3 linked regions of the Mytilus edulis genome follow. The protein of the gene in region 1 purifies or fractionates together with the protein of each later gene. This does not show direct contact. Links are inferred from orthologs where the notes say so. Each region holds a gene or a part of one and is shown on either strand. Other genes may lie near its edges. The genes, in order: GTP-binding protein 4-like, ribosome biogenesis protein NSA2 homolog and mRNA turnover protein 4 homolog.

What was found.
Region 2: the proteins of GTP-binding protein 4-like (region 1) and ribosome biogenesis protein NSA2 homolog purify together in Homo sapiens (affinity purification with mass spectrometry; 3 studies listed by BioGRID and IntAct, counting the BioPlex papers as one, with this or other methods). This does not show direct contact. The link is inferred for Mytilus edulis from reciprocal best matches to the Homo sapiens genes GTPBP4 and NSA2.
Region 3: the proteins of GTP-binding protein 4-like (region 1) and mRNA turnover protein 4 homolog purify together in Homo sapiens (affinity purification with mass spectrometry; 3 studies listed by BioGRID and IntAct, counting the BioPlex papers as one, with this or other methods). This does not show direct contact. The link is inferred for Mytilus edulis from reciprocal best matches to the Homo sapiens genes GTPBP4 and MRTO4.

The regions. Positions count from the first base shown.
Region 1 is NC_092345.1:13,258,662-13,262,421, reverse strand, and holds the start of GTP-binding protein 4-like, read left to right. Parts: upstream 1-1,459; 5' UTR 1,460-1,530; coding exon 1,531-1,578; intron 1,579-3,760. Other genes in the region: zinc finger protein 28-like, read right to left, coding at 1,027-1,072. UniProt on the Homo sapiens protein: Involved in the biogenesis of the 60S ribosomal subunit. Acts as a TP53 repressor, preventing TP53 stabilization and cell cycle arrest.
Region 2 is NC_092347.1:14,142,115-14,145,874, reverse strand, and holds the start of ribosome biogenesis protein NSA2 homolog, read right to left. Parts: upstream 2,604-3,760; 5' UTR 2,507-2,603; coding exon 2,504-2,506; intron 826-2,503; coding exon 758-825; intron 188-757; coding exon 122-187; intron 1-121. UniProt on the Homo sapiens protein: Involved in the biogenesis of the 60S ribosomal subunit. May play a part in the quality control of pre-60S particles.
Region 3 is NC_092355.1:77,874,626-77,878,385, reverse strand, and holds the start of mRNA turnover protein 4 homolog, read left to right. Parts: upstream 1-1,385; 5' UTR 1,386-1,496; coding exon 1,497-1,524; intron 1,525-3,760. Other genes in the region: 14-3-3 protein beta/alpha-1-like, read right to left, coding at 589-903. UniProt on the Homo sapiens protein: Component of the ribosome assembly machinery. Nuclear paralog of the ribosomal protein P0, it binds pre-60S subunits at an early stage of assembly in the nucleolus, and is replaced by P0 in cytoplasmic pre-60S subunits and mature 80S ribosomes.

The sequences.
Region 1 (3,760 bases):
ACAATGTAGGCCTAGATAAGTGCACTTGTTCATATATCCTACCTCTGTTTGGAGCAATTTTAAATAACTTAAATTGCAAACATTCCAATCCTGTCTTAATTTTTGATATATTTGATTAATATTTAATTTCCTGGCGAGTGCTCTCAATAAAATTATTTTTTGTTTAAGCTAAGAAAGCAACAACATTCTAACAGGAAACCAATTAGTTGAGTATCACTTTGGTAATCGATACTTGGTACTACTGAGCGTTACTCGAGTACTCAAGAACTCATTGACATCCCTACTTTAGAGATATTAATGTTCCGCGTCATATGAGTATTTGGACCATATGAGTATCTCATATCATGGGGGGTCAGAGGGGTCCAGATCCAGAAATCCCCGGTTTAAAAACATGAAATCCTGACATGCTTGAGGTCACTAATTTTAAAAAAAATCAAATCCCGACATCCCGAAATTCGAATGATGAATTCCCAGATCCTGAAAGGATCAATCCTGAAATCCCGAGCTCAAAAACACCTGATCTGGAGTCCCTATAAAGGTCCATCCCCCCTCTCATAGGGGGTCTCATTGGGGGGTTCCGATCCCGGATCCCGCTTACTGTTTTGTCAGATTCCCGTATCCCGCTTACACTATGTACATAAGCAATTCTCATTTTTTTGTCATTTCCCGGGTCCCGCAAGACCTAATTTCCTGTTTTCACGCCACAATAATTTGACTTTCACGTGTCACGCTTACAAAAAATCGACAATCCCGCGTCACGCTTAGACCCCAATGAGACCCACCTCATATGGTCCAACCATTTGTACATTTTTTGGACTATTATCTAGATATGAGTATATATACTTGTTTGGTTATCGATGGGCCACATCAAATGAGAAATTTGAAACCAAAATTGGCACTGAAATCACATCACATAATACACCAATCAATATGCACTAATAAAAATAGTTTATTTGATGAAAACTACTGTATAAAAAAATATACAGGCCCTGTGAATCAAACTTCGGGTCAAACAGCGTTTTTAACCTTTGATTTCTGACTGATTTATGTCTTCAAAACTGACACTGTCCATTTTTTTCCGGATACCCTGGGATCCTGGCTTACTGCTCGACAATCAACAGAGTTATCGTATATTAGATTGGGTCAGGATGCCTAACTGTTTTTTTCGGACAAGCCAATAAAAACCGGAAGTCACAAAAAATGATAAACTATAACTAGTGAGGAGAGATCCTGTTAATACTACGGAAAATATATTTTCTCGAAAATCTTCACAATTTTAAATTTCATATAAATTTTGAAAAAAGTTCAATTTATTATTTTCATGTCTTTGATATTTATTGTCATGTTTTCTTGGAGAAAAATCTTTTAATTGTCACCAAAATAGTCCGTTGTAGTTGATTATTTTTCATCAATCTTTTATTGGTAGACTTATCATTATTTTCACCAATGAAAATCCAATAAATAATTCACTCCTGGTGAATTGTCAACTTCCTTTTCACGTGTGTGCCAGATTTTGCAACATCAGTCAAAATGTCACACTACAATTTCAAGAAAATCACTGTGGTTCCACCATCAAAAGTAAAGTCAATTGACATTTTATTTGAAGGAAACACTATAGCTAGTTATTTAGTCTTTTGAAATTATGTTCAATTGTAGAAATTACAAAAAGATACATATCATCGTGTAATGTGTTTTCGTACTAATAACAATTTTCACTGCTTACGGTTTTTACTGTTGAGTTTTTATTTAGGTGTTTACTCAGATTTAAAAAGCATGTCCTGTAGATTGATTTTAGGTATCTAGTTTTTTTTGTCAATGATTTCTACGATTTTTTACTGTTTCCGATTACTTTGCGATTTTTGTATGTCAAAAAAACGGCGTCATATGTTTTCGTATGAAATAAAAATTGGATCAGTACACGGACAGGAAATGACTACAAAATCCGGAAATAATTTTTTTTTAAAGTCGTGGTTCTGGTGATCGCTTGAATCATAAAAAAAGTTATTAAATACTTTTCAGTACTAAAAATTACTAGTTAATAGTGTAAGGTTGGTGTTTCGTGTGATGAAATTTTTAGATTTTGATTAATTTTCAGATTGGCACCTGGTTTGTACAAAATACATTATTTTTTCTAAAATAAAATGCAGTTTTCAAAATTTATGATTAAATATAAAAAGTTAAGACTGTTTTCATCTTCATGTATCAAGGATGTATAAAAAAAAATTGTCAATGAAATATTGAATAGTTGGATTTTGAACAACCATTTTATATAAGAACCATGCTAATTTTAACTCGATGGTTTGTAATTAAAACGGCCAAAAAAACACATGACAGTCATATGTCTTGAAGATCCGGTGTCTGACTTGCAAAAAACATATCTGGACTTTATTTTAACCCTTCAGAATTTTTTTCCACAACTATTCTAGTGATGCGTTTTTTTGACATTAAATAAAAATGGCTAAATAGGTCAGTTTTATTTAATTTGTTCTAACGTCTTTAAAAAGCGACGTTGAATATGTTTTAAATATATCAAGTTGTAGTGGTGTTGTTGTTCTAAATATAGAAACAGAAAAACATGCCACAATGTACGCGTATGCAGTCGAAACCGACGAAATGTGGTTGATACGAAAACATATGACATACGAAAACATATGACACGACGATATGTTTATAACATGCCGTTCATGAAAAATTTATGTTTACAAAGATGGGGTTAAATAATAGATTGGTTGATAGTTGCTAGCATCAACGAATATAAGTGGCAACTAAGCAAATTAGTTTTCTTAATACAAATTGAATAATAACTTGCCCGATTGCTAAATCACTCCTCATTGCCCTCAATCTTGAGGCCTGTTAGCCCAAATTTTCTCTATTGTGTGTTTTGCTCAACGTAGTTTCTTCTCGGTGCTATAAAAGGGGTCTCACTAATTAGCGACAACAAGCGTCAAGAAGCGACAACAAGCGTCAACAAGCGACAAGAAGCGACAACAAAAATTATTTTAGCGACAACAAGCGACAAGAAGACTATTTAGCGACAAGAAAACATTTTTTTTTATTAGATATAAAGAAATTTGTATTTAATGTTTTTTTTTAAATATACGAGCAGATATGTCTAATTAAAATGTTTTATAATATAAATAGACGAAGAAATGAAACATTTGTGAGAAAGCTCAAGATTGTCATTAATTTCCTTTCATCTTCAATCAATATGCATAAACATGATAAATATTGCGAGCTTAATATATATTGCACGAAAAGAGTTTTAAAAAACAAATTATAAGATAAATAATATGTTCTAAAACACAAGGAAAAGTAATCTCATAATACAATAATTAAACGTAATACTGGCTGTTATATATATATATTCATAATAGATGATAAAATATTATCATGTTAAATAATGTTTCATTTTTTTCTATCAATTTTAACTTTCTTCGTCGCTAAAATTATTTTCTTTTGCATATTCTTTTAATATTTATTGCAATAATTAATTTTAATTAAAAAAAAAATGTTTTCTTGTTGCTTGTTGTCGCTAAAATAATTCTTATTGTCGCTTCTTGTCGCTAAAATTCTTGTTGTCGCTAATTAGTGAGACCGTATAAAAGGGTATGCACTGGTTAAGAGTGGGATTGTGGAAAAGAAGTATCAAATCTGCAAATTCTGTTTATGAACTCGCCTTCTAATCTGGTAAACATACTGTTCAGGGTGCTCTTTGGATATTTGATTGAACATATCTTCTCGTTTGTTCTCATAGCAAGGA
Region 2 (3,760 bases), on another chromosome or scaffold:
ATTGAATGAAGTTTGTTTTCTTAAGTTTCCCATCTAAAATAAAAAGGAACCTCACTAATGAGATACTCTGTGGTTTCTTGTAAACAGAGAAAGGTTTGATAAGTATGTCCTTTATACTCACTTGATGCCTCTTAGTTTCTTTGCTTTTTCTGCCAATTTATGTGGCATTCTTCCTTCCTTTTTACGTCTGACAAAAGAAAAATCATTAATCATTTGAGTGCACATTTATGACTTAATATTCTGTCTATCTTTAAGTTAGACTGATGCCTGCATGATAACTAAACTTATTTTATCAGGTTTCTTAGATTCTATGTATCAGAATATTTCAAACTATGTTGTTTTGTAAATAAAAGTTACAATGCAAGTATTGAGTAAACAAAAAGTATGTGCCATTATTGTATAGCAATGGAGTATTCACTGTAGAATGTAAACAGCAGTTCCAAGAAAAATGTTTTCTCTTAGCATATAAATTGTGATTGAAATCACAAAAATGCAAAATAATATTCTTCTCAGAACAATATTCATGTCATACCCTGAAAATGTTTATCAAAATTTCAACATGAATAAATAGTTTAAAATCACTACTAAGACTAAGAATTTAATCATGTCTGGTCTAGTGGCAGAAATTAAACAAAACAAGTCTTAATTGTACACATTTCTCCCATTTGGCATATTTATATATCTTTCACACTGAACAGTTCTTAAAATATATTTAGTTATAAAATTTATAATAATCTTTTCAGTTCGCTGAACTTACTTTTTCTCATGGTAATCCAGTCTGCGGCCATGTCTTTTTCTGTGGAGTTCTATATGTTCGTTCTGAGGCTATAGAGAAATTAAATTAAGAACTATCAAACTTGAAAGGCTACTACTATTAATAAATGGAAACCAATGTCCATATCACTGACACATTTAAGTTTCATAAACATTTTAGGCTATTCAAAATAATAATAAATTGACAAGAGAAAATGGAAGTTTAGTCTGTTAATTTTGCTAACTTAAGTCTTAGTCTTACATAGTCTTACATAGTCTGTAACTGAGCGCTGGATCACTCCACTGTGCTCAGATCTTCATTTATTTGCTGACTTGTTTCGGTTCCAGTTCCTCTGTCAGCTTTTGCTCTATAGATATATTTCATTTCACTATTTGTCCAAAATTTACCTAGGCGGCTTTCAAATGTCTGAATAGTAGGTGCATTTACAACGTTGCTGATATAAACTTAAGTATTGTTTCTAAGCAATATGGTTAAAATTTAGAAAATTCTACAGCTTTTTGTTGATAACTCACCTTGATTCGTTCAAAGTTAAATCATTTTTTGAAGATATTTCAATTAATGGATCCAAAAAACTCTTGAACCATTTGTGAAGGGAAGATAATTAGAGATCAATTTCCCTGGGTTTTTTTCTGTGAACAAGATAAGCCTATTGGCCATATATAAGATTAGAAGCATTGTATAATTTCTCTTATGATGGCAATATTTTACAGGAACCTCTGTGATGTAATGACAAACAAATAGCAATACAAAGGGGTGTCTTTGTTGTAAAATATACTAGTCGCCGTCACGTAAAATTGGCACAATGTTTTTTTGGTCAAAATTTTCTTAAATATCGACCGCGTTTACTAAAGATCATGTTTTTCAATTAGCGGAAGAAAAATCCTGTCCAAATATCCACTATTGTCCTACCTTTTATTGTGTTTGTATTTGGACAGGACTTTACTTCCACCAAATGAAAAACATCATTCTTGAGTAAACGCGGCTGATATTTAATTTTTATTTGACAAAAGACATGGTGCCAATTTTACGTGACAGCGACTATAATCCATTACTGCATTTGAACACGAGATATTTTCAAGTTATTGCCATAATACAACAGCAATGTATTTTAATACTTTCTCATCATACATTAATCTTTAACACTCATGATGAAAACTGCTCCCCATTGTGTTTATCTTCAACTGATACGGTAATTCTCAGATCTGCAGTGACATCACAACATGTAACTGACCAATCAATGATAAGAATTTGTGTTATGTAAACAATGTTGAGAGGTGATGCGGATAAGAATCCTCTAGATTTTGCATAGACTTCAATAAAAATTAATTTAATTGATATATATTGAACCAGTTGAATCTAGTAATTTTACCCACTTAATATTGTTAAAGACACTATATAATATCTCAATTTTGATTTTTATCATATTATATCCTCTGGTTAAAAAATAATCAGCAATATAAATAATCAGTTATCACCTTCAAATAGATGAAAAATCAAGAGGAATCCTGTCTGCATCACCTCTTGAAAAATTTAAATACCAGGATGTCCGGATCTGAGAATAGTGATCGCTGTTTCAGTGTTTGTTTTGACTGCCATACGCAACATGTTTATATGTGAATATCGTGTTTTAAGAGAAAAATAGGCATATAGATCGTCAAATAATTACGTATGTATATAAGGGATAGTTTATATAACACTTTGACTTAACTGTCGATGCTATAAACTAACCATTATGAGTTTTTAAAAGTTGTCAATATTTTTGTTGTGAAATTTCTCAGCGACACATGTTAAAAGAAATATACAAAGTTGAACACGGACAAAATCGAAAAATCCGGTTTTTTATAAGGTTTTGCTAAAATACGTCACGGGTACCAAGTCCGTACCCTTAAACTTAATAATTAACCAATTGATAATGATAATTCATATTCATAGTTAGAAAAAAAAAGATTATTTTGTAGATAAACTCATCATAGATACCAGGACTAAAATTTATACATACGCCAGACGTGTTTCGTCTACAAAAGACTCATTACAAAAGATATTATCAAAAGTAATCAGCAGAAAATTAGGTTTATTTCTTCTTCTTTATCTTAATGTTTCCTACCAAAATGAATTATTTTGTATCATCATTACCATATGGCCGTTAGTTTTCTCGTTTTACATTGTCTTATCGGGGCCTATTATAGCTGACTGTGCGGTATAGGCTTTGCTCATTGTTGAAGGCCGACAGTGACCTATAGTTGTTAATGTCTGTGTCATTTTGGTCTTTTGTGGATAGTTGTCTCATTGGCAATCATACCACATCTTCTTTTTTATATTTACTTTAAATACTTCCAACAGAAGTTTGGTTTTTGATATTATAATTTTTAAGACAAATACTCAGACTTTGCAAACATCTGTCAAACTGGTTGAATTCAGCTCTCATTAGGCATTAACAATAGATTAGGTGATCTGTTTAGAAATAGGTCATCTTATAGTCATTCCATCCACCTTTATCTTCCTGCTAAGTTGCTCCAATATTCTTGTGTCAAGGCTTTGATGCTTGATCAGACTTATCAGCTAGGTCAAAATGCTGGAGAAGTTATCAGTAACATCACAATGATTCAAAATTGATTTGAATCTAAAAGATAATATATAGCAGTACCGCCAACAGAAATTTGGTTTTGGTGAAGAATATGATTCCTAAATTTTATTAAATATTCAAATATTGCAAAAATGTCAAAATTAGCTTTTCTGATAATTCTTAATTTGGCCTTCTGGTCAGAAATAGGTCATTCTATTGTTTTAAAATAACAATATAACAAGAATGTGTCCCTAGTACACGGATGCCCCATTCGCACTATCATTTTCTATGTTTAGTGGACCATGAAAATGGGGTATAATCTCTATCTTGGCATTAAAATTAAAAAGATCATATCATAGGGAACATATTTACTAAGTTTCAAGTTGATTGGACTTAAACTTCATCAAAAACTTTAACCTGAA
Region 3 (3,760 bases), on another chromosome or scaffold:
AAGAACCTTCTTTTATTTTTTATGCATTTAACTACATGTATAACGTCTTAAGTTGCATACACCTACAGACTTCATATAAATGCAAGCCAAGAATAATGCATTTAAAAACTGCTGGCAATTTTAATATGGATACTAGTACTTCATAGTGGAAAATCACACAGGTTTGTCATTTTTGCATAATTTATGCAGAGTGCTCCATTATATAATCAGTGCTGCCAAGCTGTTGATTCTGTGAACAATAAGATAAATCATTGCATACTGCATTCAAGATGTCCACGGAGTGTCTAGATCTGCAATAATACTGCAGAGGAGATGATGAGCTCATGACTCATGCAAAATTTTTACATTTTTATCAATGACGCGGATGAATATACAAACACATGCCAATTTTATGATGATCCAAATTCTCGTCTTCCTGCACATGCAAAAACGATGCTATCTGAATCTGTGTATTGCGATCGGGTGTAGAATATATTTTCTTTGATATATAAACATCTATAACTTAAAGAAAACACAATAAAAATAAACATGCAATGAAAACTGCACGCAAAACGACACAACAAGAAACATCCGTCAACTTTCACTCACCAGAACGTCTTTGCAAATTTCTTGGAGTTCGGTTGTTACTTTGTTTTTGTAATCTTTAGCCAATTGCTGTTTCTTTTCTGTGCCATCAGTCTTAGATTCTATACTTGAAATTACTCTCCATGATGACCGCCGGGCACCAACAACATTTTTGTAGGCAACGGAAAGTAGATTCCTCTCCTCGTTGTTCAACTTCCTAAACTTTTCGACCACTTTTTTCATGGCCTCGGCCATATCATCATACCTTTCAGCTTGTTCAGCTAACTTAGCTTTTTGAACTAGTGTCTCGCGTTCCTTTTTATCTTCGACTTCCGACATGGTTAAAATATTTGTAAATAATCGAAATTTGAAGTCTACTACTCTTTACTCTATCTCCACCTTCCCAATATGGCGGAATACACTAACCAATCAAAGTACAGGTGACATCACTGATTCTTCCGCTACTCCTTTATTTTCATGGACTAAAATGATAAAGTTTAATTGTTTATATTCTATAAAAATATGTCAGGGAAGATTAATTCACTAAAAAGAATAAAAATAGTTATCGTTTGAATAATCGAATATATTATGCAGTGGGACTATTTTGCATCAAAATTCCTAAAACCTGGAAGTGGGTTATCTTCTCTTGAATTCCATTTCTTTCGATAGATTTCGGGGATTACATTCTTTCGAAAAGGTAGCCCTAACGTCACTGTTGCTATGTCAACTCCTAGCCGGGTGTCGAAGGTCAACGTTGTTAATAAATAAAACTTTACCATAAATTATTTTCAATGATATTTTCGAATTGGAATTGATAAAAAGTGTAATAATTTTAATAAAAATATTTTTTTAATTCAATTCCTGAAAACAGGAATATTTCCTTATTTCCGGTTGAAAAAAACACGTGTGTTTGTGTACATTTTATTATCAAGATGCCAAAGTCAAAAAGGGACAAGAAAAGTATTATTATATTGTTGTTTATTCAAAGAACTGCTTATACACACTACAAAATACAAATAAATGTTACAGTCATTTTGTAAAATCCCTGAAATTTTAACAGTTTGAAAATATTTGGGATTATAATTTTATACTATAGTTATTTTTTACTACTACTAGGTACATTGTATGAGTGTTTTTATGGGGGTTACGGTACTTTCGTGACTAACAAGGGGCCTCGGGGGCCGAGTGGGATAAGAAGTCCGATTCTAGCTAGTCAACGCTGAGGTTGTGAGTTCGAACCCTGCTCTTGCTGGTGCAAAGGGTTGCGTTCAATATCGTTCAATATTGTAGGGGCTATGTAGTGCTACGTAGATTTATGACTATTGAACTAGTAGCTAGCCTATTACTATGTAGCAGCTATACTAACTACTTGTTCAATAGTCATCAATTTACGTAGCCCCTACGATATTGAACGTGACCCTGAACTCCAATCTTCATTGATGTTTGTCAGTTTTCTTATTGAAGTAGTTACATTGTGTAACTAAATTGTTCAACCTTGTTTCACTTTCAATTTTGATATTTTTTTCATTAATCAGGTCAAGAATAACCACCAATTGGTGGATTATACCTCAATTGATGTATAATCCACCAATTGACATATAATGGTATAGACCAATTGGTGTATAATTCTTTGTTTTTCAAAGCAAATTATTCCACCAAAATGGAGCATTGTCTTCTTAAAAACATATTATGGTATGAAAACTTGTAAAACATTCCTAGTTTAGTATAGTGACATTACATATTGCATTTCAGTGGCGGATCCAGAACTTTTCCTAAGAGGTGGCCTGCTCCAGTCATGCTTCAATGATTCCCTATATAATCAACCAAATTTTTCCCACGAAAGGGGGGTCCTGGGCCCCCCAGGGCCCCCCTGGATCCGCCTATGAATTTAATCAATAATTGTATTTGCAGTTTCTTATATTGTTATATATCTTGTCAATTCTTGATTGGCAAATTTACCACTAATCACCTGTCAATGGACATCAATACTGTCTGCAGTCATGTGATCATGAGTACAACTCCACAGGTGAATGGAACTCTTTGTTTTAAATACTTCACTTTCATTATCAAAAGTCAATCATGGTCAATAGTACAAATGTTTCAACAAAAGAACTGTTGTACACATGCATTCTCAAGAGATGCAGCAGGCTTTGGCAAAACTGAAACTTTCAGAGGACTCAATAAAGGTCATAAAATAGGTTGCAAGTTGCAAAATCATGCTCCTATCTCACACTAGCATTTTCTTACAAAAAACTCCCATTATACATCAATTGGTCTATACCCATATATGTCAATTGGTGGATTACACGTCAATTGAGGTATAATCCACTAATTGGTGGTTATTCCTGACCTGTTAATATCTGAATAACTCAGTCATATTAGTATATGCCTTACCCAACTCAGCAGGGATAGAATTTAGTTTAAAATGTTGTTAAGACCACAGGTCTAGAGTAAATTTGTTCAGCGTAGTCCTGATAAAAACAGCCTAGCCCTAAGTCACCGATGAGGGTCGCGTCAGCGACCTGAACCTTCTAGCAGGGTTTGGGGGCATGCCCCCCCCCCACAAGAAAACTTTTCAGAACTACATTCTATTTCCTGCTATCTGAGACCATTCTGAATGTAAAAATGAGGTCTCATAATAGCCAATTTATGGAGTCTCAAAAAAGAAAGAAATGGAAAATAATTAAGATAACTATATTTAATTGATTTTTTTAAAGGCAGTGCTTTAAGGCATAAAACTTTGAGTTTTTGTGTCTTTCAAAGCACGAACAATATACAAAATTAGTTGCAGGGTAAAGACACTAAACTCATAAGTAGAAAAAAACAATACTTGCAATATGGTGACATATAGTTGTTAATTTCTGTGTCATTTGGTCTCTTGAAGAGAGTTCTCTTATTGGCAATCAGACCTTATAATGGCTTATCTTCTTCTTTTTATTGATTGCATTTAAAAAAACTTTTTTCAACTTAAAAAAAAATACAAAATACAAATCCAATGAGAATACAGGCCTATCAGATGGTACTCATGTGCAGAGTGTGATGAGACTAGCATTGATGAGAACTAGAACCTAAGTCCTGTGACATGACTAGATTCAGTTGTACTTGACTCATATTTTTAAAAGTATTTTTTTAAAAAAACCGTCAAATTCTGTTATATTGTTTAAATTCGTTTTGCTCCTTTAATAAACTAAAAATG